Oreochromis niloticus: one gene and its partners. The protein of the gene in region 4 interacts with the protein of the main gene of each other region in a biochemical or structural test. Links are inferred from orthologs where the notes say so. Each region holds a gene or a part of one and is shown on either strand. Other genes may lie near its edges. The genes, in order: cldn8.1, jam3b, jam2a and tjp1a.

What was found.
Region 1: the proteins of tjp1a (region 4) and cldn8.1 form a complex in vitro, tested with the Homo sapiens proteins (2 studies listed by BioGRID and IntAct, with this or other methods). The link is inferred for Oreochromis niloticus from reciprocal best matches to the Homo sapiens genes TJP1 and CLDN8.
Region 2: the proteins of tjp1a (region 4) and jam3b form a complex in vitro, tested with the Homo sapiens proteins (2 studies listed by BioGRID and IntAct, with this or other methods). The link is inferred for Oreochromis niloticus from reciprocal best matches to the Homo sapiens genes TJP1 and JAM3.
Region 3: the proteins of tjp1a (region 4) and jam2a form a complex in vitro, tested with the Homo sapiens proteins (2 studies listed by BioGRID and IntAct, with this or other methods). The link is inferred for Oreochromis niloticus from reciprocal best matches to the Homo sapiens genes TJP1 and JAM2.

Annotation. Positions count from the first base shown.
Region 1 is NC_031979.2:31,204,303-31,211,526, reverse strand, and holds cldn8.1 (claudin-8), read right to left. Parts: upstream 2,728-7,224; 5' UTR 2,578-2,727; coding exon 1,792-2,577; 3' UTR 513-1,791; downstream 1-512. Other genes in the region: claudin-8-like, read right to left, coding at 1-286; cldn8.2 (claudin-8), read right to left, coding at 4,296-5,183; claudin-17-like, read right to left, coding at 6,663-7,224.
Region 2 is NC_031975.2:3,977,716-3,985,300, forward strand, and holds the start of jam3b (junctional adhesion molecule 3B), read right to left. Parts: upstream 3,005-7,585; coding exon 2,863-3,004; intron 1-2,862. UniProt on the Homo sapiens protein: Junctional adhesion protein that mediates heterotypic cell-cell interactions with its cognate receptor JAM2 to regulate different cellular processes. Plays a role in homing and mobilization of hematopoietic stem and progenitor cells within the bone marrow.
Region 3 is NC_031986.2:11,215,858-11,223,549, forward strand, and holds the start of jam2a (junctional adhesion molecule 2A), read right to left. Parts: upstream 3,015-7,692; 5' UTR 2,627-3,014; coding exon 2,578-2,626; intron 1-2,577. Other genes in the region: mrpl39 (large ribosomal subunit protein mL39), read right to left, coding at 6,612-6,686. UniProt on the Homo sapiens protein: Junctional adhesion protein that mediates heterotypic cell-cell interactions with its cognate receptor JAM3 to regulate different cellular processes. Plays a role in homing and mobilization of hematopoietic stem and progenitor cells within the bone marrow.
Region 4 is NC_031965.2:19,078,067-19,085,591, reverse strand, and holds the start of tjp1a (tight junction protein ZO-1), read left to right. Parts: upstream 1-4,504; 5' UTR 4,505-4,669; coding exon 4,670-4,761; intron 4,762-4,980; exon of another isoform or gene 4,981-4,995; coding exon of another isoform or gene 4,996-5,027; intron 5,028-7,525. UniProt on the Homo sapiens protein: TJP1, TJP2, and TJP3 are closely related scaffolding proteins that link tight junction (TJ) transmembrane proteins such as claudins, junctional adhesion molecules, and occludin to the actin cytoskeleton.

The DNA of each region.
Region 1 (7,224 bases), on a different chromosome or scaffold from region 4:
GAAGCCCTACTGCTGACAAGGCCACAGCAGAGCACATCAGACCCCTGGCAGCCTGTAATTCAGGGGGCAGATACAGCAGGGAGTCATAAACCTTACATTGCATCCTGATGTTGGCTTGTCTGTAGCAGTTCATCCATAAGCCTTCCCAGCGGGTTTCCATCACAATTATGTTTTCTCCGATGAACGCGGTCACCTTCCACATGGGCAACCCCGTGGTAGCCGATGCACCGATCAAGCCAACCAAGCCCACGCACATTGCAGCTAGCTCTGAAGCACCTTGAATCATTGTTCAGTTGTGGTTAAATCCAGAATTAGAATGGCTCTCATCCATAACATTTGCTTGCTGTACGAGACAGTTTGTTATGGGTGAGATGCCCTGCACTCACCTGGTTGGTTTAGAGGGATGAGGGTAGGAGGAGGTCTGCTTATTTTGTGTTTATGTTTCTCAGGTGATAGGGGTCAGTCGTTACTGTCTCCAACAGTGTACATACAAAACAAGACAACACCAACTATTTTTTTTAAATTTTAATTATTTGCCATGTTTTCTTACTCTTTATATGTGGTACAAATTAGAAGCAAACATTAATATGTGGTACAGTTTAGTACAGAGCATGTAGTTCTTATATTGTCCACAGGGGAGCAGAGATGACCTTTAGGATAGTGAAATGAGGGGGATCTCACATAACACAGGCCAAATACAGTTTGTTCTGTCTCTTACAGTTTAAATGTCTAAGTTTAAATTATGTACAGAACTTGTCAACATGTATTCATCATGGCTTCAGAAATTATTGCGTGAAACCTCAAGCGACAATAAACACTACATTGTCCTTACGTCACAAATATTTGCGTTACCCAACAGCAGTGAAATTACTGTTTTATTTTGAAGTTCAAGTTGTATAGTTTACATTTGAACTTACTAAAACTGAAAATAAGCAACCTGTTCGATTAAGAAGTCGTATTCTATTGAACAGAGACAGAAATGTTTAACACAGTCTGCTTTGTTTTCTATTCAAAGTGACTTGCAAATTTGGAACATATGATCATGCCGTTGTCGCTCTGCTTTTTTTTGTAACTATCTGGCTATGCTGCCACACCTTAAACAAGTATCCTTAATCCAGTATCTTGTTTTTGTGTAACTATTTCCTCTTTACCCAGCCAACTTAAACAGATTCAGGATTTTTTTGGTTAAGCAAACACCATAAACGTCCTAGTTTTGGAGGTATTTTAGATGGATGGCATTTACTTTCCAGTGAAATCCTGGTAATGAAAAAATGAAAACTGTTTCTTCTTTTCATTTCACACATGAAGCGTTATGTGTTTGTTGGTCTTTTCTAGTACTACTTCTACACCTGCCATCATTTAGTTATTACTTTTGATTTGAATACTAGTTGAAACTGATTAGTAATGATTAACTTTTCTTTTTTAGCAGCACAGCTCAGACACAGCTCATGTTTAAAGTTTAGTCATTTCAAAAAATATTTCTTAAGCTTTAAATGTAGTTACAACTACTCTTGTTTTTCAGAGATGACATGTCCCATTAACAAAGTGCATGTTTTAGAGTAAGTCAACTTTTTAATAATTTTCAGTGGTTAAAGATTGAATTAAATTGTTATATACAGCATAAATGTACACAATTTTTAAGCATTTGTATAAAATATAAGGCTGTTAGTATAAAATTTAATTAATACACATAATGTAGTAGAAATGGTGTATTGGTTCACACACATTTTCTCTTAAACCTGAAATGCATAGTTTCCGATCAATTAAAAAAACAAAAATAAAAATAAGTGTTCACAGAAACGCGACCCCACTGTGTGCACTGTGTACAGAGGGATATCTGGACTGGTAACTGTAGATAGACGATGGGTATCTTGATAGCATTGGCTGAGATCGTGGTTGGGGGGGAAGCGTCATCAGTTGTTGAGGTTGTAGAGGCTGTAGTGGCTGTTGAGGGTAGACCGAATAGTCTGAGGCCTTGGAGTATAGGTACCTCTCTGAATCTTTGTCATCCGACTGTATATTACAGCAAATAAAAATGCATCCTCCAGCAAACAAGAAAGCCGAAGTTACCCAGCCAATGTAGAGAGCTGCTCCAAGCTCTCTCCGCTGGGCATCGATCAGCAAGGGGTTGTAGAAGTTAGTGATGATGACGTGACCCGTCCAGGAGACGGGGATGAGGACACAGAAGCAACCCAATATGATCATGCTACCAGCAATGATGAGAACCAGCCGCTTAGCTCGATCATTGTTTTGGATGCATGATGTGCACTGCATGCCTATCAGACTGATCAGCACACCAAGACCACTCAGTGCCAGAGAGCAGCACATCAGCCCCCTTGCCGCCTGCAGGTCAGGAGTCAGGGCCAGGAGAGAGTCGTACACTTTACACTGCATCCTGAAGCTTGCCTGTTGGTAGCAATTCATCCACAAGCCCTCAAACAGAGTCTCAAACACAATGATATTGTCTCCAATGAAAGCTGTGACGCGCCACATAGGCATTCCTGTAGTTGCTGCTGCCCCGATCAGCCCGATTAGGGATACTAAAAGACCCACAATCTCCAGTGCTGAGTTTGCCATCCTGTTCTTCACTTACTCATCCGAGCTCAGAAGTGCAATAGTGTGCGGACAAAGTGTGACTGCTGTAGGAAGCAGTAGGTTTTCTCTGTGGAGTGGCTTTGCATCCCGATGGAGGAGGAGCAGGTTCATGTTCACCTGTACACCCTCCTCCCTGTGGACATAACACCAGAATGGGAGGTAGTGGGAATTGTGACATGTTGCTAGGAAACTGAATCCCTTGGGCCTTTAATTCTTTGTACAGCAACCCAGTAGCTGCTCTCAGCTCCCCGTTTGTTTACTCAGAAGTCTCAGTTTACATTCTCGGACTTCGCCTTAAAAGAAGACAAAACGATGAGGTGTTTCTTAACAATGGGGGCATGTTTAGAATCGTCAAATGTATCACTGGTAAACATACTCTGTTAATGTATTACCAGTTATAGTTACAGATCAAAAATCAGTTCTGATTCACTTCCTGTTTATTACTTAATCTTTATTTTTAATTGTTTACTGCTATTGTGGAGGGCCTCATGGTCCATGGGCATGTAGGGGAACTGGAGACGCAAAATAACACCAATGGACAAAACTCTTTGTCCCCCATTTTTGTAACGCACACTGTTAAAGACAGGAGCGCACAGCAGACAAGACAAACAGTGAGTCAGGGGAAGTCTGCCTCTGTGTGTGTGTATGAAAGATATAAGAGATGTGCAGTTTTAACAGAATATGAGAAGTAGTAGAACGGCGGGAAAAAAAAGAACAAAGTATGGCAAATTATGATAAATATTCAACATTTTTTTTGTACATTTGATAAGTACATTTTAGAAGTACCGTGAAAAGGAAACAATTTGTACGTGTGTGTGTGTGTGTGTGTGTGTGTGTGTGTGTGTGTGTGTGTGCATTTGTATTTTTTTTTTAATATTCTTCTATATTTTGGTTTGCTTTAAGGGTGTCAAATGTTAGAAATGTATGACTCAGTACTGGATTTCTTGTCTGGGTCTCTTGTGTGACTCTGCTCTCAGGGAAAAAAAAGCAACCAATTCCTGTTTGGTTGAAGTAAAGTCACCTGGTAGGTTTGTACAGTGGGTGGATCTGTGTAAACAGCCTGGTTTAACCAGTTTAGGCACATTTCCACCACTACAATAGAAATGACATATATTTCCATTTGCTCACTAGTGAGTGAAGAAAGTGCAGTTTCAGTTTGAGGTTTTGGAAATTTACAACAAATTTAAGCTCATTTGGCATCACTAACAGTGCTTACATTATAACGCACCTTTAACTTCTTGATCAGCTATGTCCTGTTGTGTTAGAGATTGGGGGGAAAAAATACAACACGATTCTCTTTTACAAGCCATGTACTTTATTAGGAAAAAAACAAATTTGGCCAGAATTTTGAGTAGGTCAGAAACTGTAAAGAACGCAATATCAACATACAATTGTTGTAACATTAACAGATGTAATAGATTATACATACTGTGCTAGAACATAATTTAGTGTGAATTAAGCAAAAGGGTAAAAAAACAAACAAACAAAAAAAAAAACCCAAACAAGGAATATGGAAATCCAGCACAGTTTGTCAGCATTGAAACACATTCAAGTCCATAATGATTTGGAGTATTTGCAGTACACTTTGCTAAGTAAAGAAATATCTGGTTGTTTCAAGTGAACGACAGTTAATCAGTTCTCCTCATCAAATGTGCCAAATTTTGGCAAGTTTATTTTTAAAAAAAAAAGTCCAAAAATCTTTAGTATTGACTTGGTGCGTATATCACAGATCCTGGTGGGGCTGCAGAGTAAGCAGGCTGGTAGGCATATGCTGGCTGGTAGGTGTATGCTGGCTGGTTGGTGTATGCGGGTTGGTAGAGGCTTCCTGTGGGGTTGTATTGAATCATCTCATCTGGATCTTGGGTGCGGGGAGCATGGCGGCAAAGCAGGATCACTCCGGCACTGAAAAGCAACGCTGAAGTCACCCAGCCAATATAAAGAGCCTCCCCGAGCTCTCTACGCTGGGCATCGATCAGTAGAGGGTTGTAAAAATCTTGGATGATGACATGGCCAGTCCAGGACACGGGAATTAGGGTTGTAAGGCAACCCATGAGGAACAGGCAGCCACCAGCCACAAGAACAATATGCTTGGTACGAGCCCGATGGTCCACCACTTTTGTGCATTTCATCCCCACTGCTGAAACAATAAGGGCGAAGGTGGTCAGAGCCACAGAGCTGCACATCAGACCCCTGGCAGCCTGGAGATCAGGAGGCAGAAACAGCAGGGAATCGTACACTTTACATTGCATTCTGATGTTGGCTTGTCTGTAGCAGTTCATCCACAAACCCTCCCAGCGGGTCTCCATGACAATAATGTTCGCGTCAATAAAGGCTGTTACCTTCCACATCGGCAGGCCCGTCACAGCTGCAACGCCAATTAGTCCAATGAAGCCAATGATGAGAGCTACTACCTCACAGCAGATAGCATTTCGACGCTTCCGTTTCTCAATTTTCTTCTTTTCCTCATATACAGAGTCCCCATACTCTCCATACTCTCCGTTTGTCAGCGCCGGCTTCCCATCGTAGTAACTGCCAACATAAGATTGAGGTGGCTTGCTGTAGCCACTGTAAGCAGTGTAAGTGGCCATTCTGGCTAACACAGAAAGCTTAATCTCAACCTCCTGGTGCACTTATACAGCTGAAGAGAAAAATCTGAGGAGAACAACAAGTTGAGGAACTTATACACCCACAAAAACTATGCTAATGATGCAATGCAGCCTTACTGGTTAAGCTGCTTCAGAGCCATCAGATAAATGGCGAGACACAAAGGAGTTGCTTGTTTTGAATACCTCCAGTACTAATGATCAGTCGCTAGTTTTTAGTTATTAAAAATCACTAAATCTTGTTACCACAGTAACAACAAGGTTTAATCAACATCATATTTTAATAAAATCAAGCAAAAAAGTCAAAGTTAATGAAAAGTATGTAACATATTTTTAATACTACACGGAAATACTTGACGTAATTTTAGAAAACATTTAGCATAAGGAAAATGTATTGTGAACATAACGAGTAATATCTCAGTACTATTACATGTGCTAACTTAAAATTAACTAATGCAATGTGTGGCCAGTTTTATCATTTGAAAGGATTTGCCAGATAAAAATGACTTGCTATAAATGTTGAAAAAATGAATAAAACAAATATAACAACTGTAGCATCCAGCTACACTAATGGGCGTAGGAAACGACGCCATCTCACAAACAGAAAGCTTATAGGATGATCACAGATGTGAAACACACTGCTTCTCTACACGTAAGATGAGCTGATGAAAAGGTGTTGCACACAGAAACCTGAGGAGGAGGACCTTTTGTCATTATCACACAGGGTCATTCCCTTGTTGCAGCCACAGAAACATTTTAGTTTCTGCTCTGTCCAATGTGAAAATGAGGCACTTCTTCATTGGCTGTTTTCACTTTTCCACCTTAGGTTTTTAGTACAAGAAAAATATCTGAATGGAGTGTTGGTTAAGTATTTGCGTTCCACAAAAAAAGTAGAAATTCTATGAATTGAATCACACAAACAAACTGAATTAAAGATTTTAATAAATGATCTGTTCACTTGGTTGGCGGGATTATTAGATCATGAAATATAATGAAATAAGACAGTGAAGCAGTTGCATTTGTCATGTCTCAGATGAGAAATTCATCATTAAGCACAACAAAAATGACTTAAATAAATACAAAAAATACAGACTTGCATCCAAAACAAGTACTTAAAAACAGTGATGACATTCTCAGGGTCATTGGAGCAAGAGCTGGATTAAGATTGAAGTTGATTGACGATAGCCACTGCAAGCGGTGTATTGTTGCTCAGAGTGATAATATAGATTTGCCAAAAATTATATTACTTTAAACACAGGCACTATTGTTTATTCATGTACAGCATATTACCCAAATATTTTTGCTGCATCTGTAAACCAAACAGTGCAGACAAGACAAACGCATAGTACAACAGAGCATGATTACATGATTGATTTAAATATATCATTGCAAATAAAATACATGTTGCTCATAAATATATGGAGAGACATCTAATATGTAATTAGTACACTGCAGTACAGGTATTTACACATATTCCTGATTTGAATGAAAACTAGATTTCGCTCTCGAAAAGTCAACACTGTCCGCCTTCTGTTCATTCCTTTTCACAATATGATATACTTCAATGTAGCGCTGATCTTCCTTTGCACTGCGTTTGCTGTACCTAAACAGCACAATGATCCCGGTGATTAGCAAAACACCAGAAGTGGCCCAGCCAATGAAGAGGGACGCTCCCAGCTCCCGCTTCCTAGCATCCAGCGTTTCCGGGTTATAGAAGTTACTGATGACAGTATGGGCCACCCAGCTTACGGGGATGAGTGTGGTCAAACAGGAAAGTAGAAACAGACTCCCTCCTAATGCATAGGTGATGTTCTTACTCTTTAAATTGTCACCACAACAGTTGCTCTTCTGGATCCCGAATCCTGTGAGCAACAACGAGATGAAAGCCAGGACTATGGAGACACACATGAGCCCCCTCGCTGCCTGCAGCTCTGGTGGGAGAATTAACATCGAGTCATACACCTTGCACTGGATGTTGATGTTAGCCTGTCGGTAGCAGTCCATCCACAAGCCCTCCAAGAGCTCC
Region 2 (7,585 bases), on a different chromosome or scaffold from region 4:
CCATGTCTCAAAGAACCCTAATTTCAAAATACATGAAAGTTATGTTCTGTTTGCTTTAACTAATTATTGTGGAAATTAAAAATCAGTGATTTATTAGTCGATAATGATTCATCTTATAAATCATTACACACTGCTCTTCCCTTCATAAGCTGCCTTTATAAGTTAAAAGCACTGGTATCAGTATTGGTACTGGCAATACTGGCCCTGTATTAGAGCTGGGCGATAGAACGATAACGATATGTATTGCGAAATAACTTTTTCTCGATAGAAAAATTAAACTATTGCGATAGGCCTCATCTCTCTTGTCCTCTTAAAAAAAAAAAAAAAGAACAGCCAATCCAAATTAAGTAGCGCAGAGCCGAACCAATCACAGCCACAGCGTCACGTCATGTGACTTGTTACGTACAGCACAAGTGCCAAGGCGCACATGTGTATTTGTTTTTGCAGCCGGGCTGCCCGGGTAATGAAGGAAAGGAGTTTGCCGATTAGAGAAAAATCAACCGAGAGCGTGAGCGAAGGTTACCGAAGAAAAAACAGATGATGGTTCCAATGCCGGAGAGATTGTCGAACGGAAGGGCCACAGAAGTTCCGTAGTGTGAAGGTATTTCGGCTATTTCAAGTCTGACAAAAAACAGAGTAGCGCGCACTGTAAATTGTGCCGAAAGCAAGTCTGGAAATACAATAAAGCGGTGCATGCTCAATCTCTGACTGAAAGCGCTAATTCGTCATTCGGCTTTTGTCAGACTAAAGTAACTGTTAAAACTGTTTGAAAAGCTAAGCTATACAACAAGGAGAGATTGAGAATTTCCTTTTAGTTCTCAGTTTATTTGATATTGACAAAAGTTAGTCAATTTTGTCTGTTCTTCTGTAAAACGACCTAAGATTTATTTTTAGAATTAATATTTTGTTTCTAAGTGGAATTGACAATTTAGTGGTCTGTTTTGTTTGTTCTATTTTGAAACTTGCCTTTTGTGTAGTTTGCAATATTTGCCTTTATTTATCTGAAACTGAAGTCTCATGTTCCTTAAGTACATCTGTTGAACTTATTATGGGAAATAAATATTTTAATTAAAACAAGCTGCTAATTATTTCACATTTTACTTGTGAGCAACGGCACATTTAAATCTTACAAATATAGTTATCTGGCTTATATTGTGATATATATCGTTATCGCCTGAAATGAAAGAAACATATCGTGAAATGAAAAAATCTTATATCGCCCAGCTCTACCCTGTATTTATTTGGTATCACACACCACTACCGTGCAAGGATACTTCCACTGGCAGTGGGTTTAACATGTTATCTGCATCGAAGGAGCCGTTTCAGCCATCAAACTTTTTTCCCACTAGACATTTTTGAACAGTAACTTTAAATCAAACCGAACCTCAGAGACTGGCCTACCATTTTCTAGCTTCATAATGACTTTGCTCATTGGTGTGTGAATCTTTTCACGGAGCAGAGGATTTATTATTGTCCTTTCAGGATGTTTAAAATTTGTTTTTCTGGCTGTGCAGAACGGACTGCTGGATCTGTTCATCTTTGTTTTGGTTTATTCTTGTCTGCTTTGTGCTTCAGGGTCTGATAGTTGGAAGACAAATATGTTTAATTAAGTTTCCAATTGCATTAGATGAGTGGTGTATTTATTGAAAATCAGACTCAGACTTGTTAAATAAAAATGTGTATGAAGTATACTAACAGTTGGTAGTCTAGTACCCCCCCCCCAAAACCACCACCACGCAAGCGTAAAAAACCTTTCGTCTACAGCAGCACCCTCAACTTCAAGGTCCTTCCCCACGGCTCTGAGGAAATAATAAATTTTAAATTTATGTCAAATCATATGAATGAATATGACTTATTTGTCTTATGACCAATATCGTCAAACCGTGTGAGGAACGTGTAAAGGAACTGGGAGCTCCCGCATGAATATTTAAACAAATCGCTCCGCTCTTACAGGTGTCTGTATTTCTGTTCTAGGTACCGGACTGATAAAGTTATGAGGACTTTCAGGTGGATACGGTTAGCATAAAAAGAATTTATTTTATTTCGGCTGTGTCGGTTCACCAGCCGTGTCGCGGTTTAAAAGCGTTGGAGTGGAGGAGAAGGATGATGAGGAGGGGGGTGGAGGACGCTTTGCTGGTCTGCCTGGCTCCTCCCGCGGTCAGCCTGCTTTTATTCCGCTGTAGGAAAAATCCGTTATCTCGCGTCAGTACTTCCAACATCATCACCGCAGCTTCAAACCCGCGTTAAATAGTTAACGGCACGAGCTACGAAACCGCCTTAATTCATGTTTAATTTCCCAACGAAAAGTTTGTCTTCATGCTGTAGAGAAACTTTTTCAGAGGCAGGACACGCGCACACAGAAAACGTGTCGGCTTAGCGACTCCAAATGTGCCGCTAAACTGAGGATCTGAACGTTCAGCTCAGACAGCCCTGCTTTCCTCATGTGTAGTTACATGTAGATATCTGTCACTCCTCTTAACGGCGGCAGTATTCCAATAAAATCAATAGTTGAGAGTAGTCTGAGCGATGTTTTTCAGTAACAATGAACGCTTCAAACAATCACTCCAGCCGTGCATTTGCCAGACTCGCGTTGACATTAAGTTAAAAATGGCGACTATTTTGGTCACTTCATTAACTATATTTACTTCACGTCGAAGGGACCGAACTCGCTGTCAGTCTGGTTTAAGTTTAACGTTAGTTGAGTCTACACGGTTACTTCTGAGGCACTCTCTTTTCCACTTACTGTTGGTGTAAAAGAAAAATCGACCAAACAGATGTAGAAGTGGATGGCATTTGGCGGTCACCTTCCTCGAGCGGATAAAAGACAAAGTAGCAGCCGGTTAAAATAATTTTTGTACTTACACTGAGTTGAGAGGAGAGTCAAGAGCCAGGCCAGACGTGTTTTCGCCATCTTGGAGTCGATGCAATGCTCTATTTGGCTGTCTGTACATGCGCAAAGTAGACTGAAGAGCCTTGCTGGGGATGGAGAGAGGGAGAGAGACATGGAGATAAACCGGAGAGAGAAAGAGAGCGAGAGAGCGCGCCAGGGAGGAGGAGGAGGGGGGGGTCTATTATATTAGGTTTCCATAGCTACCGAAAGCATCACTCACACAGACAAGAATTTATAGTTGACACAATGTGGGAGGCCCTCGCTACTGTGGCTTATGCTGTAGTTATAGTTACTTATCTGCAGTTGCAGATAAATAGCCCCAGCCTTTTGTGTACTGTATTGTTGTTTACAGCATTTTGACTAAGAAAATAATAATATCTGGAGTTTCCTTGACAACATTAAAAATGGGGTAATATTACTACAAAAAACACACATTCACAGAAATTAAAGGATTGTAATAAAACATGAATCTACAAGTACTCTTTCAGTTCTAGAAGAATCTATCATGTGTGAAAAGCTGAGCTTGACACTCTGTTACTGTGACCAGTAGCATACGGCCGGCTTTAATTAAATATTAACTTTACCTGGCCAGTCCTGCTCATACCTGCTTGCAACTGTCATCCCATTGACAGCTGCCGTATTACCTTGTTCACATGAAAGAGCAACCCCAGTCTTGTATGTCATGTCTGTGATGACAACTGGTGCAGCCTGAAAAATGCTATACGAACTGTTCCGGTTCCTTCAAACTGTTTCACAACAGCAAAAATAATCTCATATACTTTAAGCTGCTTTTGTCTTTGACAGGATCAACCAACATTTGCCAGTAATGGATCTCATAAAAGCCTCGTTTAAAATAAGCACAGTGCTCACTGTGTACATCATTACTGCAGCAGTTATATCTAATTATAGAAGTATGTCTAATAATGCTAGAATGCATTTGAATTGTATTACATAACATCAAAATCTGTAATTCAGGCAATATTGTGGTATGAATCAGGTGTAGCTGTTTCAACCACACTCTTGTGTTCAGGCTCTGCTCTCTAGGTTTGTATTTGGAATCTGTGATGATGTAGCACTGAAACTTGATTTTCAAAAAAGGGGCAATCAAAGCTTCTCAGCGTTCCATAAGCAGTGTTTGTAGACTAAGGGAAATAACAAATAATATGTACAAACCCTCCTAACACCAAGATTACAAAGTACTAATAAGACATAAATATCAATCTATAATGTGCATATAAATACTTTACTTTAATGTGCATCTTCAATACCGTTTGGGAACTTCAATTATGATGTATGAGATGAAAATCTAAAATCTTGCCTTGCCTAAATTTTAACATAAAATGAAAAATAAAAAATAAAAATCAGAAATGAGATTATGCTTGTTGTTGACAAGATGACATAGAGCTTATCTCTTTTGTTCCAGGTTTTGTTTTTATTATTTATTTAGTTTGAAAACTCAATCTTCTCAGAGTCATCCTGCAATATCCAATATGATATCATTTGGCTATTTGTCCCCACTTTTTCTTTTAGTCAACATAAACTTCCTTTTTCAATTCGTCATAGAGCCTCAGGGTGCTGGACTTCAGTTGGACTTCCCGTTTGGCAACACTCAGCTAGTTTTTAGCTTTCCTGTATATGTGCTATTCTGCCTTCTTGTAGCTCCACCTGCAAGCATTCCTTATCCAGTCCAAATGACTGGACAATGAGCTCCCGTCCTCTCCTTAGCTCATACAGGGAGTGCAGAATTATTAGGCAAGTTGTATTTTTGAGGAATAATTTTATTATTGAACAACAACCATGTTCTCAATGAACCCAAAAAACTCATTAATATCAAAGCTGAATGTTTTTGGAAGTAGTTTTTAGTTTGTTTTTAGTTTGAGCTATTTTAGGGGGATATCTGTGTGTGCAGGTGACTATTACTGTGCATAATTATTAGGCAACTTAACAAAAAACAAATATATACCCATTTCAATTATTTATTTTTACAAGTGAAACCAATATAACATCTCCACATTCACAAATATACATTTCTGACATTCAAAAACAAAACAAAAACAAATCAGCGACCAATATAGCCACCTTTCTTTGCAAGGACACTCAAAAGCCTGCCATCCATGGATTCTGTCAGTGTTTTGATCTGTTCACCATCAACATTGCGTGCAGCAGCAACCACAGCCTCCCAGACACTGTTCAGAGAGGTGTACTGTTTTCCCTCCTTGTAAATCTCACATTTGATGATGGACCACAGGTTCTCAATGGGGTTCAGATCAGGTGAACAAGGAGGCCATGTCATTAGTTTTTCTTCTTTTATACCCTTTCTTGCCAGCCACGCTGTGGAGTACTTGGACGCGTGTGATGGAGCATTGTCCTGCATGAAAATCACGTTTTTCTTGAAGGATGCAGACTTCTTCCTGTACCACTGCTTGAAGAAGGTGTCTTCCAGAAACTGGCAGTAGGACTGGGAGTTGAGCTTGACTCCATCCTCAACCCGAAAAGGCCCCACAAGCTCATCTTTGATGATACCAGCCCAAACCAGTACTCCACCTCCACCTTGCTGGCGTCTGAGTCGGACTGGAGCTCTCTGCCCTTTACCACTCCAGCCACGGGCCCATCCATCTGGCCCATCAAGACTCACTCTCATTTCATCAGTCCATAAAACCTTAGAAAAATCAGTCTTGAGATATTTCTTGGCCCAGTCTTGACGTTTCAGCTTGTGTGTCTTGTTCAATGGTGGTCGTCTTTCAGCCTTTCTTACCTTGGCCATGTCTCTGAGTATTGCACACCTTGTGCTTCTGGGCACTCCAGTGATGTTGCAGCTCTGAAATATGGCCAAACTGGTGGCAAGTGGCATCTTGGCAGCTGCACGCTTGACTTTTCTCAGTTCATGGGCAGTTATTTTGCGCCTTGGTTTTTCCACACGCTTCTTGCGACCCTGTTGACTATTTTGAATGAAACGCTTGATTGTTCGATGATCACGCTTCAGAAGCTTTGCAATTTTAAGACTGCTGCATCCCTCTGCAAGATATCTCACTATTTTTGACTTTTCTGAGCCTGTCAAGTCCTTCTTTTGACCCATTTTGCCAAAGGAAAGGAAGTTGCCTAATAATTATGCACACCTGATATAGGGTGTTGATGTCATTAGACCACACCCCTTCTCATTACAGAGCCTATACAGCTTGGAGTAAGACAACATGCATGAAGAGGATGATGTGGACAAAATACTCATTTGCCTAATAATTCTGCACTCCCTGTACTTATCCAGTTCAAATGACATCCTGAGGTTAGGTGGATCAGATTTGAATATTTTATTTAGTCTCGGCCTACAGTTTGATGTTCGCCTTGTACAGGAGGTTGCTGATGACCACTTCACTCCTGAATTCATATCAACTCTTGGTAGTGAGCGGACTTGGGGGGTTAATGTCTATGCGGAACAGCAACAGGGACAGTACGTCACCTTGGTATAGCACACAATTGATGGTGATTTGTGTGTTGTCTTCCACAGTCCCAGTAAGTCCCTGATGAATGTTATTAGCACACCAGTATCCACATGTGGGGCATTGAGTTTCAAGTTTTTCTTGTAGTCAATGCCAGTGCTGTTCAGGTTGGTCTGCCTGGCCTTGGAGTCTATCAACCTGCTCTGTCAACCAGGAGTTTTTGCTTTGGCCCTCTGGTATTATTTCCAATGTAATTCTGAGCTGTACCCATGTATTAGGTCACATGCACATACTCAGTTTAGTTGCTGTGATGCCTGAGAGGAGCTTCCATATTGTGCCGAGGCAGGTAATCAGCTAGTAGTTTGATGATATTGTACCCTTGCAAGGATTCTTAATGATCAAAATTGTCCTGCATTGTCAGGCAATCATGGTGTGCTGTGAATTTCTCCAGCCAGGTCCGTGTGCTGTCCAGCTCTCGATTCCAAAGACTCATTGAGATATTGACTGGCTCTTGGTCTGGGAAGTTGCTGTGGTCTACGCTTAGGTCCATCAGCCACTTTGCATTTCTATCAGATATTTCTCCCTCTTTCTCCTGGATGTTATTCCAATATTACTCAGTTTCAGCTTCGGGTGGGTCTGCCTTTGTACGATTATTCCCCTCGTAGCTGAGAGGACACTCTGGACATATCATTGTAGACCATGGAATTTATTAATTTAATTTAATTTAATTTAATTTAATTTAATTTAATTTAATTTAATTTAATTTAATTTAATTCTTTTTATTTTATTATTTGCTTCCGTGTTATATACCTTGAGCCTAATGATCACAACTGTGAGCCTTTGTTTGGCAATTTCTAAAGCCTCACTTATGAATATCTTGTTGTACCTCTTTTTCATTAAGCTCACCTTCTGCACCGTAGTTAACATCCTTCCAAGCTTCCCTGATTTTGGATTCCAGCCTTCTTCTCCATAGGGGGTTTGCTTTACTCAAATCTTTGATCATACCCAAATGATTCTAGGATTAGTGTGGCAGTAGCATATGTGAGTAGTTTCACTGATACTGGTAGCGGTGATGGTGCTTAGAGCAATGTTCACATCTGCAAGCATCTCCTCTGAGATGAGCCACCTTCACTCTGGCCACAATCCTCATCCTTAGCTCAGCATCTGTCATCGTGTGTGGCTGGGCATCATTTAGTCCAGTTGCACTTTCCAGCTTCGATATTAGCTGTCATCTATTGATGTTGTTGTACAGAGCTACTTC
Region 3 (7,692 bases), on a different chromosome or scaffold from region 4:
CAGCTCTATGGGACAGACTTTTGCTCATCTAGATGTTATGTTAATTTTTGAGTCCTGGCAGCTGCTGTTTGTGCTACAGCAAGGCTAAATAAGGATCATCTTGAATTGTGATCCATGCAAAGCCAGTGCAGTAGAGTCCAAGAATAAAAGTTAAAGAGCTGGGACTTAATTAGGTCTGCTTTAAACAATGACTGGCATTTGCATCCAAACGGACAGCGTAATCTTATAAGACATACAAAACATCTCCAAATTGTTCCGTTAGTCAGCGGAGGTTCTCAGAGTGCACCACATGTTTTCATTTGGCTGATTTTTACACCGCCTTTCCTGACCGAGTCACAAAGAGATTTGTATCGCCTTCCAGGATTGACCTTGATTGTTGGCCAAAAACTGGAACATCCATAGGAGCTAATGCACGCAGCCCTGATAGATGAGTACAAAACAATCATCAGACAGAGCAGACTGATTTGGGTTAACATCATTTCCAGTTAGCAGGACTATTACCGGCACCGAGTGCTGAGTATCCTAACTACTCAGTGTCGTCATACATAGTTACACAGTACATAAGTATGGACCACTAGGGGTTGAAAATCAACTCCATTTTACACTTTTTCCACCAATCCAGGTGGACTTCAACTACTTTGGTCAAGTGAACAGCAAAATGGCCTAATGAGGGGCTGCAGCGTTGCACTAGATTTGCCAGATGAAAAAGATTATTATAATAAGTACCACAGCAGCAGGTCTCTGGTGATTCTCCAATATAGCATCGGATTTGGCCACAGCGGTAATTAAAATGCTGCTTCTGTGGGCCTGTGGTGGTTCTGAAGCACGGGAAAGACTAACAATAGCACCAACACAGGAAGGAAAAAGACTAAAACACACACAGACACACACACGGATGTCGTGCATGGCATTAACATCAATCAAACAGTGCTACTGCTTAAACTCACAGGAGGGACAGCCACCCTCTTCCCTGAGCAAAAAATAGAAGGATGGCACGCTCACTCCTTGGCACTCAGCTTTACTCTCATTACGCGGTCCGTTCTGAGTATTACAGAGACTGAGGCGGGTGTTGCCAGGGCTGTGCCGAGGTCAAAAGCATGGCGCAGTAATAATTAAGGCACTTATTCAAATTAACAGAGAACAAATGAAAGAGGGAGGGAGATGGACCCATAGGAAATATCCTGTCTGCCTGCGTGATGTAGATAACATGAACGTGGAGGGCAAACACATTTCAAGGCTGTGGAGGGGGAGTGCGCAGGAAAACAGGATGACGACTGACTGTGCGGGCATGTGTGTGTGTGTGTGTGTGTGTGTGTGTGTGTTCTCCATTTGAACAAAGCCAGTCTGTGTATGACTGTAAGACTGTGAGCAACAGCTGTCTCAGACAGACACAGCATGAGAGAGTGTGTGTGTCTGAGAGAGAGAGGTTGATATGAGGGAGTTGATGTGTGGATATATGTGTGCGAGAGGGTGAGGTTGGGGGTATTACTTAAACTGTTTGTGAGTGTGTGTGTGTGTGTGTGTGTGAGAGAGAGGGAGATAGAGATAGAGTGAGAGAGAGAAGAGGTGATATGGAAGCTTCGGGATCACTTGCCAGAGACCCACCCAAAACATTTCCTCTTCTACTTCTTTTGTTTCTTTTTTCCTTTTTAAACAATGCACTGTACAAGTAGCAGTGGAGCTGAGGGGGGAGGGGGATCTCAATGGTGCTCTTCTCACCTGCTGACATCCATCAATTGAGCCACATGACGAGTGATTTCTATCACAGCGGGACTGAAAACACACAGCTCTGTGAACTCTGACCCGGTGTCCTGACAGGTGGCGAAATGTGAGTAAAATGTGAGTGACTCACTCTTACTGTCTCATCACATCCATCTCACGCTCAAGCCCCAAACAGCACTCTTCCTTCCTGCGTCTCCGTGCAGGATAATCAGCCCACTTGAGATGTTTTCTTGTTATTTTCGCCTTAAAATACATTTAAAAGTGTAACTTTTTGTGTTCCCAATTTCTTCCCTCCCACCGCCCCTGAAGAAACAAACAAACTCCGTGTCACGGTGAAAACCAGCTTGAAGTTTCTGGTAGAAATCCAAACGCTGACCTCACGCGCAGATCTGTGGCTTATTCTGCCAAAAATGGGTACCCACCCGCCACCAACATAACACCCACACCCTTAAGTGGCACCAGGCCAATACAACTTTGGGGCCAGCTTGTAGGAACCCAGCCTGGCTGCACCGTCACCACGGCCCACTCTATCGGAGGGGGTTCAACTAAACCGGGGGGGCGCTTGCAAATCAACAATTACGTGAATCCAAAAAAGAAAAAACGTGAAATGAAAAATTCCTCCATATATTCATCTTCCAAATCATGTTTATAGAAAACAGACCAACGCTGTATTATGACTTCAGTGAAAATCAGTAGAATTTCCCCACAAGATAAACATCTAGGCTTTCAAGCACCTTTTAAAGAATCGGTTTTCTTAATGATTCGTAATGGTTTCTCCCTCGTCCTGAAAAGTAAATAAAAGGGAACACTGTAAGAGCAACTTCTTCGAATGAACACTTTCCATTTTCCACTTACATTGCATCAGTAAAATCACAACAGGAAGATACAGGGACGTCCACATCATTATCGTCCCCAACTCTGGCTGGAGTCTCGTCTTCGGAGGACGGAGCGAGGAGGCAGATCCCGAGCCTCGGCTTTGTTGTTCACTTGTTCGCAACTCCCGGATAATTCACCCAGCATCCAGGGAATAAACTGATCTCCGGGGAGGGTGTCTGTGCGCGCGTGTGCGTGTGTGTCAAGCAACCGGACCGACCCGGCGCTCAGCTCCTGGCACGAGAAACAGACGAGCGTGAAGTCGCAACTTCTGCGCGGAGCAGTCAGCGAGATCGACGTCCCGGCTGAAAAGTGCGGTGAGCAATGGCGAGCAGCCTCTGTCACTGTCAGAGAGACGCGAATGGATGCTCTCTGTTCTCGCTGGGCGGCTGGTTGAGATTGAGGTGGAGGGAGAGAGGGAGGGAGGGCGGAGTGAGCTCTGATGAGCAGAGCGGCGGAGCGCCGAGAGCGCAGCGCCGTGTCCAAGACGCGCACTGCACTGCCAAGTGGCCACATAGCATAGCGGTGGGGTGGCAGCAAAGGTGTGGCCCCCTTAATACAGAACCCCGAGGGAGACCCGCGAGTTATGCTGAACTTTGAGGCCCACTCCACGTAGAAACACACATATTACAGTTTCTTTCTTCGATGTTGCAGTCAAGTTTGTTAGAAACAGTCAGAATCATTACGGAGTATTTAAACAGTTTTGATGAAAAATCTCTTTGGTTTCAGTAATCATGAAACAGGCGATTTGTTGGAACAGAGGACAAACACTGAGATGCAACACTAAGAATTAAGAGTTAAAAGAACTGTAAAGACCTGAAATCGTTTGCGTTTTTGAGAAAGGGGGGGTGCCGAACATAAGGCCCGGGAGCCAGAATAGGCCCAGCAAAGACTCCAATTTGGCCCACCTGACAAACATTGCGTGTAGATTTTGAACTGTAGACTTTACAGCTAGCTTTTCTTAATGATTATCACCATACTACACCGTATGTCCACAGTACAAAAACAAAAACAAACCCCAATATTTTCTGTAAATTGATTAAAACTTTATATTCTGACCTACAAGAACTTTTTTTTCTCCAATTTTACACATTTATCATGTAGTTTCACTGGTCCGGTCCACTTAAATTCAGAGTGGCATTTATCTTGTAAACATGAGCTCTTAGTATTGTGACTAATTTGGGTTTAAAGAGCAGAAGGGTGGCGTCATTAAAACTGTGCCGGGCACCTTCAAGGTTGAAAAACAGTAAATGTATTTCAGCTTTTCCACCATAACAGAAAACATGTGAGTTGTTGGGCAAAGAATTTTCTTTCAAGTTATTCATTCGTCAACTCTGAAAATCCTCCCTTATGTTTTGTGAGAATGAGCTCATGATTTCACTTGGATTTCATATGAGGTCTCGTTGTAAGCGGTTCTGAAAGTGATCCTGCCCGATTACGCTTTCGCTCAAGATCTTTTTAAGAACAATTTTGTAATTTTGTATAGGATGGATTTAAAGAATAACGAGTGTTTAACAGGGAAAAAAAAGCACTGACATTTAAAGTATGGTGCAATCAAAAGCTTATTTAAGCAAAGTAATTCTCATTAAACCTGAAATGCATGACAATAGTTTTTTTCCTCTATAGAAAGCTGAATGCTGATTATATCCAGAGAAAGACGGGTTATTACTGTTCATCAGCAGAGCATTGATTCCTCAACAATTACTCAAGAGATTCAGCGAGGCACGCAGATTGCATTAGAGACCTTTTGAACAAATGGAGAACAGAAGGACATAAATTCATTTGTCAGAATGCATCATTCCACAGTATTTTTGTAGTTATTCAATTTTAATCATCTGAGCAGCACCAGTTCCTAAACACCTCTAAAGTGCTGCAGGAAAGGGGAATTCAGGGCATCAGGGCACCGAGTCAAACATCTCAACTGGGACTGAGTCTGAGGCATGTGTGTTTGGGTGTGTCTCACACACTGTCAGGGTGTTTTTGGGTGGGGGGGTGGGGGAGAAGCAGCAGGATGCTTGAGATGGGACAACAGCTGCATAGTTTGGAGCTTTTCTGGCCAGAGACTTTGCGCAATCTTACATTGTTTCCTGGATCCAATTTGGGAAAAGTTCAATGTTACTGAGAAACAAACATAATAATTTGACCAGAAATGGGCGTTTTTTCTGTTTTATGGTTCCTGGCATTCACTTTTAATCTCAAATGATCTAAAGACACCCAAAGAAGGGATCAATTTTCCTTGTCACTGGAAGCCATTAAACATAAGACATACTTTATGTATCCCAAATATGGGAACTTTACCAGAACGAATCAATAAACAGATGTTAAACAAGATTGTGTACACTGTAAAAAAACACAAACAAACCAAAACAACCCCCCCACCCTCCAGCCACCTACAGTAATAGTGCAGCATCTGGTGTGCCAGAAAAACACAGTGAAATAACGGAGCTTTACGATCACGGAAAAATAAAGACATTTTAATTAAACATGGAAATTTTCTCGTTTTGGAAACTAGTTCTGTAGCTTTAAGTTTACACAGTATTTTTTTAAAATTGCATTTAAATGTGCAAAAATGATAAACAAATATCTAATAATACGATAAAATACTGCTACAATAAAATCAACCAAGCTTAAAATTGCTACAGTTACCAGTCAGGTTTATTATGTAGTAAGAAGACAATTTTAGAAGGTTGCCACGCCCACAGTGCTTTTCATTTACATCTGGTTCAATCTATAAACCGTCCATTTTCCACCCATTAAAATTTTCCATGTTGCTGGCTATCTGTTTGAACTTTTTCCACACTGTCCCCTTGTAAGTGTCCCTCTGTGTAAAGTCCGTCAAGCATCCTTCAGATTTGACAGTTATTGATCTGCAAGTGCCCGCCCCTTACACCTTGTTTCTAATCAAAACTAAAACAAAAGAATCTGATTGGTTGCATCACTTTCCTGATTTAACCTATTTTTACGTTACAAAAAATGAAATTATTACAAAAATACTGTTTGTTTGGTCTTACATGACTAGACTATTCTGTTTATGGAAGAGTTTAGTAGTTTTGTAAAATTATATTGAATGATCCAAGTCTGTAATTTCACAGCCAATTAACATTTATTGTTCAATCTCATTAAACTTATGCATGCCTTAAGAATAAATCTTTACAGAATTTTTATTATTCCTTCTCCATAACGTCACAGTTTTATGGTTTATTTTAAAATAAACAGCACAATTATAAAATACACAGTCTGTGAAATTACACTAATTATAATTGTTAACTGTGTTTTGACAGCTTACTAATATTTGCAGTTTACGTTATAAACACCAAACTTTCTGTGAAAAATGTCAATTTTGTTTATTCAGTTTTTTTCCCCTATTTTGCAATTTTATTGATAATTTATTTACAGCTATGTGTAGCAAATTTAACAGACAGAATGTTTCATTGCAGATTCTTTTAATTTTAAAGCATATAAAGGAATGTTTTTACTTTAAAGTATCGAAGACCCTAGATTTCAGGCTACAATTGCAACTTCTCAAAAAACGATGATGTAGCTCTTGCATAAATCTCAGTGTTGTTGTCGACCGTGTCAATTTACCACGAATCAAGGAAGAAGAAGAAAAAAAAGGGAAACGATGCTGCCTCATGACTCAAATCCTCAGGCTTGCTCACACATGCCAAACGCACTCAGAGGATTGAGAGCCACCTGTTTGCCAAGTGATAGACGCAACAGATGCACTGTTGCCTGACCTCTGGCCAATTTACACATGTACACATGCACGCACACGGCTTTTGTTGTTAAGCAAAACTCCTGATACAAGAACAAACGCACCCACAATCATGACTGTTAATCACGCCGAATACAAAGGCTGCTGCATTTTGCGCAACAATACTGCCATTTGTTTCAATTTGCAGCAATATTGAATAAGAAAATAAATAGATGCAAGAGATTTCTCACATATTTTTATACATTTATTGAACAAATGATCAAATCAGTTAAAGTGTTTACGTGGAGGGTTACAGAGGTGGTTAGTGGCTGGCTGGAAGTTGAGGTGAGTTGGGAGGAGATGGTGGAGCTGCTACTTCAGGACCCGGCACATCCACCTGTGTAGAAAACAAAAATGTGAAAACAGAGAGAAGAGAAACTAAAATTGATCTACTTCCAAGACCGTTGCATCCCCTCTCCATCCTACTTTCATTAGAAATAGGCTAAAATATCTTTTTGCATATATTTTAAAAAAGAAAGCTTCTGTAGTGGTGGTAGTGGGTTGTGGGGGCATGATGCCCACCGTGGGGGGAAATTTGGAAGAATCTCTTTGCAGTGTGGGCGGTGGTGTTTTGGAGCGCCAGCTGGAGGCAGACAGGGGACAGGCCTCCCTACTGCCTGCAGCCGGCTCACAAAACGCATCCGCCCACGTCTCGCTGTTTTTATAAACCTGTTCCTGGAGAGTCTGTAGGCTGGCACATACTGGGGGTGGACCAAATAACACTAATCTTTCAACTTAATGATGTAACAAATTACGCCCGTCAAAAAGGCCAGACAATTTGACATCAGTGCAAGATTCAGAGGCTTTATGAGCCTTCTGAGGCAATCTTTAGAAGAGCTAGAAGCATGGATGCAACACATAAATAACCAAAAAGTATGTGTTTTAAAAGAAAAACATTCGGGTAATCCCAGCGAATGAACCTCAACAAGTCCATTTAGATAACCGAAGTCTCTCTCTCTCTGTTGTCTAGCTGTACAGCGGGTTTTAGTATTGAACATGTCACCTATTTTCTAAGTAAATATATTTCTAAAGGTGCAATCCACACACACAAAGAAATCAAACCACAGAAGTCCAAAGGCACTGCATGTCACCCCAAAAGCACCACGCCAACAGTGAAGTTTGAAGGTGGGGACATCATGGTGCAGGGCTGCTTTTCAGCATATGGCACTTCCTTCATATAATTAGAGCAAGGATGAATGGACAAATTAAAATCTGCTTCCATCTACCAGGATGATGAAGATGAAACGAGGGTGGACATTACAGGGAGAAGATGCTCCCAAACGCAGCCAAGGAAACTCTCAGAGAAAGAAAATAAAACTGTTAGAAAGGCCGGGCCAATCATC
Region 4 (7,525 bases):
AATCGCCCTGCTTTGCCTTTTGCTTCTTCACATCTAAATTTCACACTTCCACTACAGAAAGACATAACTGATTTTCTTCATCACTCCAAAAGTGACAATTTGGCCTCTGGCAGTGTTTTTTTCCTTCTTTGGCTGTCGTTGAAGGGCATGTGAGTACAGGAAACTTCAAAAAGCGGTCTATAATAACAACTGGGGCAGTCCCTGTGAGCTGTACAGACACCACTCAGAGCAGGGAGAGACAGATGACAGGTGAATGATGACACGCATCAGCCATTCGGTGACTAATTTTCTGTGCTTACTCAGACGTAATAATCTGCCGCTGTATGCTCAGCTGATGTGGTCCATGTGTCTGCTCCTGCTGTCTGCTTTTTGGTATGAAAGAGAGGCAGAGCAAGAGTGAGACAGGAGAGCAGTCCAAGGCTACAGATTTAATCTGGCTGCTGTGGTCATGTGATTAATTGTGGCCAGGGGCCAGTGGATAGTGTAATTTATGGCGGTGGGGGGGGGATCAACACATTTGGATGGTTGCTGCTCCTGAGGGAAATCTCACTCTTAACCAAACCAGCATTCTTTTCAATCCCTCTTTAACCCACCATAACATCACATCTGTGGCAGCTGGGTTTGGGGACAGTTAGCCTTGTTTTGTTTTTTTGTCTGTGGCTATATAAGGAGGTGTAGTTTTATGTTTGAGGCCATAAAATGAGTGCAGAAGAAGCTAAGTGAGGCCCAGAGAATCTATTTTAAACTTTTGGGGCTAATGGAGCCAGTAAATTGCGTTTAATACCAGAGATTAAAGGGAATATCGACAGCCTGCTGAGGACCGTGCGTCAGTTTTCGCTGTCCTTTTTGGCTTAAAACCATATCACTGCTGTGGTGACCTCACCCTCCTTCAGACCACTGGCACGCTGGTGTGTGTATGTGTGTACATGTTTATTTAATCCTCTTCCCAACTCCAAGAACTGTAAATAAACATCAGAGGAGTTTCATGAGAGGCTGTGTTCAGTTTTTTGGGGTGAATTTTCTGTTGTTTTCAGAGCTGCCAATATCAAGCAGTGCTGATAACAGCAGTTTCCTCCTGACCTTCCCCACCAGCTGCTCACCAGCTTGCTCCATCCAAAATTTACCTGCCTTTGCATTGGCTTGCTGGTTCCATTGGCTTGCTTTGCATTGGCTTGCTGGTCAAAGATAGAGTTTATATCTACATTTGCTTTTTTCTGGTGCATGGGCCGTCTCAAGGGGACTATGGTTTATACTCAGTCCTTCTCCCATCTTTCATTCTGTTTATTAGTCTGAACAAATATGTAAATACAGGGATAGGGACATGCTGTTTCCCCTCGTGATGCAGCTTCATTATAAAATATGCAGGATGCAATCCAGCTTCATTGCCAAATTCTTTAATGGTAAGTGGTCCTGCCCAAGGGGTTTATGCAGAAGGAGTCTGTGAACTCTCTTTATGGTTACATCATAATCTAAATTATTCGACAGCCCTGGGAAATGCATTTCACTTGTTTGACAGATGTCACGCACACGGGGAGTAACTCCTCCTTAGGTCATGAGCGCACAGCCTCCTCTGCGTCCCCTCGTCTTTCAGGTCTCACTAAAGACTTGTATTTACTGGGCATTTAAATTTGACACCGAATCAATCACTGAATTGATTATCATCTGTAGACACTCTGTGAACTATCAGCACCTAAAGGGTAAGTGTTGGGTCTGTTCCCACAAACCCCGCTAATTCTAGAGACTTATTCATCATGAATGAAAACAAGACAGTCAGCGATCGATCGATTACTTGCGCAAGGGAGGCCTCGTCTATGTCCAGCATGGAAGTGACCCCGATGAGGGCCTCCTCTCGCTGGCTTTTATTGACAAACTTCAAACAATAGTTTACAAAACACCTCCCCTCGCAACCCCCTTTGGTTACAAAGACAAGGCACTGTATGTATATGCATGCAGGTGTGTGTGTGTGTGTGTGTGTCCTCCTGCTGACCAAAGGGTCGTAAACGCAGGAAGCTTACATCAAAGGAAGTAGATCTTCCAGATAGGATGTATCTGCTATAAAACCTCCCCCAACACAAAGTGGTTAGAGGTGCTCAGGATCAAAGGAATAGCTTTGATAATACTGCTTGAACTAAGACTGTACAAATTTAAGAAACACAATGGCAACATTCAACAATTAGACCTAACAGTAAGTAAGTGTAACCTCAGCCTTGCATTTAGTATGGATGGCATTAGGAGGTATAGCATGTATGTTAAAAACAAAACACATTAGTAATCCATCATAATATCTACATTATAATGTTAACTATAATATTCTTTAATCTAGTTATTGGAAAATGTAAAAGAACAATGTATTTATGTGTGTATAATATGCACCATTAGCAAGTATATTAAAATAAATTAAGAGGAGATATATATTTTTTACTTATTACAGTAATGTTGATTGTCCATTTTATTCAGTTGGAGCTGTGTGGTGGTTTAAGATGACCCAAGATTTTAATGCACAGCTCATGCTTCCAAAAAAGACTGGAAACGGAGTAAAATGTCTAAAAAAAATAGCACAATGCAACAGTCTGCAAACCTTTTAAGCTCTATATTTAACTGAAAATATTACAAATACAACATGTTGTTGCTTATTTTGAATTTATTGCCAGTAATATGTTTCAAAAATGGTGGTACAGTGTTTTCTTTCACTGTTTTATCACCTCTTCTGTGAAAAAACAAAAAAAGAACTTGGGAAGTGGAGAGAATAATACTGAAGTATTTAAAGCAAAATGTTTTCCTATTCCAGGCGGACTTACGAGTTCGGCTTTAATAGTGTAGAGCAGGGATGTCAAACACGTTACCACATATGGCCCCCTTTGAGCTTACGAGGGCGGGACCAGTGAAACACCCCTTTTTCTCAGAGTTACCAACTTTACACATTCGATCCCTGAGGTATTTTAATGAAAGAAAAAGACGTACAATTTCAATAGCACATCCCATTTTTTCTACATGATAAAGAAAAATCTGTCAGCATGACTCATTGGGCTTAAATGTGTAAAATGACAGAAAAAGTTCTGGTAGCTCATTGTGTAGACGGCCCTCTAATAATATTTTTTTTAATGTAAACCCATATAAAAAGCACAAATTTCTGTAGCAGACAGTGAAAAACAAACTTTTAGTCATTTAATTGTTTATCTATTACTTAATTAATTTGGTGTAATATGAATGGCTCTGGGACTGTGGGGGTGTGTCCATAATGTATGCTCTCCTTCACATTTTCGAGAGCCACCCAGGGACCCAAATTGGTGTCTTTGGTGGGCCAGTTTTGGCCCCTGGGCCTTATGGTTGACAGCCCTAGTCTAAAGCATCATTTTTTGTATTTTTAATTGCACTGAATAATTTTTACAATTGGTCAACAGACATGATGTTTTAATACATGCAGAGCGTGGTCATTAGTAAACGACATCATTAGTAAATGTTGCGCCACAACTTGTATTAAGCTTTCATGGTGCCTTCACAGATTTGCAACTTACCTCTGCTTCATGGTCAGATGTGCCTCATAAAATGATGGATGCTGGCTTTTGTACTCATTGGTCTCTTTGTCTTTAGTCTGGAAAATATGAGCTCAATGGTTTAAAATAAATTAAAAAACAACATATTTTGACTCCTGCAATTGGAGGACAGTTTTTTTCCACTTTGTGTGAAGCTCAGAAAAGGCAGCTGGTTTCCTGTATCATCTGCATTTATGTTTTTAGTCTTTATATAGGCACAGGAATACAGGAATAGTTCTCCTTTGTAATACATGGGGTTTTTTCATTCTTCATACTTAAAGGTCCAGGTTACCAAATCTGGTCACCTACTTGCCTCCTGATTATTTAATTCCATATGAGCTGATTTGTTCCTCTCCACCTCCACTTTATGATATTTAAATCCACCCCATGCTTTAATTCAGTTTAATGGACCAATCTCGCAGAAAACAAGGTCGAAAACACACCTTCTCAGTTTTACAATCCTGGGATTTCTCTAAGCATCAGTTAGACGACGTCTCCCCCCCCCTCCACACACACACACACACGCACGCACACTAAAGCCATTACATGGCTTCCTCTCTCCTCCTCCCTCCCTCCTCCTGTGTCACTCTCCTGCTCTCTCCCTCTCTGGCTGAACACACGCGCACTCTCTTTCCTACCTCGCAGACGCTTGGGTGCCGTCGCCGCTGCATCCTACCGCTCACTGTTGAACCGCCTCTTTCCCTCGACTCTTTTTCTCCACACAAACAAACCGGCATTTCACGGTTTGGCGGCCGGGAAAGTGTCCGCCATACGAGGCAAACCACAACAATGACCCGGTCCTGACTAAAATTGAATAGATTAGCCAATCTATTCTGAGCTCTAATGAGATTAGAGGGTCAGCGCGGACATGGGTCGCGGCGGCGTGGCACCTTTCCTTGAACTCCTCCGGGAACGTCCTCCCTGTCAGCGGTGCTTCCAGCGTGGAAATGGCGTTTTTGACACCGAGGATGCCGCGGATGACGCGAGGGGACAATAACAGACATTTGAATGCACGCTCACCTGTGCCGCTTTGGTGGCGCGCGGATTCCTAGAAGTAGCAGCACCAGCAGCAGTAGTTGTAGTTGTAGTAAAAGTAGCAGCAGCAGAAGCGGCAGCAGGAGTTGCAGAAGGAGAAGATGAAGTACCAGAAATATATAACGGTGATGCAGATGGCCATGGGAGTGACAGCCTCCAACAAAGACTGCCTCCCCGCAAAGAGACAGCTGTGGTGAGTATGGACAAAGAGGAGGAGGTGCGCGCTTTGGTTCGGAGCGTGTGTTGGTGCGTGTGGAGCGTAGGGGAAAGCAGGTTTGAAATGAACCTCTGGGCTTTGTTGTCTTGTTTGAGAAGCTCCAGTCGCGCTTTTCTGCTATGTCTGCTGTGAAGTTGAAGCTCAGCAGCTGCTGGCGGAAGCGACTGCCTCCATCCGCCTCTGTGACGCTCTGCCTTCAACAACAGTTTGATGTGCGCGCCGGTGACATCGACACCCAGCAGGTATTTAGGCGGGGAGGAGGAGGAGAGGGGTGAACAGTGCGCAATCGCCCCTTCTCCGTGTTCCTCCTGGTGGTCTCTGAGTGTTATGATCCGCTGGTGAGGTTTTCACGAAACAGAGCAGGTGGATTTACAGCAACAGTGAAACGACGCGGACACACACCGCTTTCTTATTTTACCCGCACGCACTCGGCGATTTCAGTTTTCCGAGCAGCTCTCTGGTCTCGCGTCTATTTCTGCGATCACGTGTAGTAGTAAAAAAAACCCAAAAAACGCTCATCTCTTATTTAGCAGCTTCTTGCCACCTGCATTTGTGTAGGAGCGGTGCTTGGTGTTTAACTCTCATTGGTTGATCACGTCTCCGTGCGTTTCCATTTAAATATGTCCACCTAGTTTAATACACGTCCACGTTTGATATCATTTATCCGTCTAAAAATGTTCTCTGGTGTTTCCGGATGAATCAGCAAAACTTAACAAGCAAAAGACTTTTTTAAAATTTATTTTAGAAAGCTGTCTCTACATCTCACCTCTGTTGCAATTAATTCCCCATCGCTTTCCTTCTCTCCAAAAGTTCCCAGGATGCTTTAATACTGTAAGATTTCTTTTTTGAAACAAAACGAAACAAAATCTCTCTTCTCTGCTTCTAGCTTTCACAGCTACATGACAAGATGACAGCAAACTAAGATATTTTGAAGAAATCATGTCAACATTTATAAACTCCAGATATTTTTTTTACATCACAAAACTATTAAAATTTACCTGAACAAAAGTTTGATAATGCTGCACTGAGCTTCTCTTCAAAGATGATTTAAATATGATACCAATGACAAACTGACCTATTTCTTTATGCACTCGATGAATTGATTAGTTGGTGTCAGGGCGCAAGATGCTACTGCCTTAACCTTATTTGGCTTCTGACAACCTGTCAGAGGCTGTTATACTGTGATACACTGTGAATGTGTTTGCACTATAGGGCATAATAAAGGAAACTGTGAAGAACGCTTCTTTTACTAATTGAAATAAGGAGCATTATAAAGAAGAAAAGGAACAAAAAAAGAAAACGTGACACAGCAGAGTGGTGTTCAGTCTAATTATAGGATCTTATCACAATGAGCAGATTCAGTCTTTCTTCTACTGTAATCCACGCAGATAACATTAAGCACCCAGCACAATCCTTACAGATTTGCACTGCTTTACACTGAGAAGACAAACTCTGGTTCCTTGCGTAGGATGTGCAAGGCTTTGAGGGGGTCCATCCTACATGTGGGAGCAAATGGGTCCATTACTTTGAATCAGAAATGATCTCACATGGGAGAAAGGATAGGTTTGCTCCTCTCCAACCACTGTCAAACATGTAGGACAGCGCACAGCGGTGACTTGGTTTTGACACTTCTCCCTTAAGAGAGGCGCAGTGGTATGTCCGGGGCCATCACATCACGGTGGGGGAAGGGACACGGCCATTAAAAGTGGATTACTGTATCGCCTCCGACAGCCACTTTAACGGAGCGTAGCTGAGCCAGCGTGTAGCTGCAGTGTGTGTTTCATGGAGTCACCCTTGGATTCTCTTGCCTGCCATTTCCGTCTTTATTCAGTGAAGTCAGAGTCCAGAGTCAGTAGGCTCACGTGCACACAAGTAACTCGCTTGCTGTGAAGACTGAGCTAATGCTTAAAAATGTAAGGTGTGACTTTAGGTTGGAATACCAAAGCAATGACCCAAGTTTAGGTGATCACTGTGCATCATAGAAGTTTAATCCTGATGTGTTTCAACCGGTGAGCTAATAGCAGTTGACGAGTTGTAGCTTCAACTTCAATCTGTTTTATATAACTGCTTTCATATTTAGAAGTAGTTAGTTTCTTAATTTCAGTCCTCCAGAGGGAAAAATGCATTGCTTTACATTCACTTTACTCTTTGACTCGTGCAACACAAGAAAGGAATTTAAACACCCGAAGAAGCCAGGCTGAACAGTTTGTATCTTCATAACTAAATGAAATGTCAGCGTCTTCTGAAAGGTTGAGTAAGTGGTCTGGTTTCCTTCCATTCATACCACAAGGTTGAGATTGCACAACGCAGAAATAAGCTGCTGCTGGAAGACCTAGCTCATACATGATTTATATCAGACTCACTTGCACTCAGGTAATGGGAGATGTTGTTCCTTAACGAGCGTAAGAACAGGACTGGCTGTGATGTCGCGACCAGAGACAACGAAAATGTCTGAAATTCAGCGAGCTGCAGCGATAACGTCCCAAATAACTGCTGCCAAGATCAAGTAGGCGTGTAGAGCGATTAACTAATCTCAGCATCGAGGTTGGACAGCGACTGCCTCCAGTACTGTCGTGGTTGCGACAGTACTGCAACTGGTTGGAGTAATTTTGACTGTCGTATAATTATTTTGTACAATATTGAGATCACAAATATTTGTCAGGATTCTTCACTGATTTTAGTGGCAAAAATTGTTTTATGTAAGCAGAACTTGCAAAGATTTGTGTACATCTTCACGTAT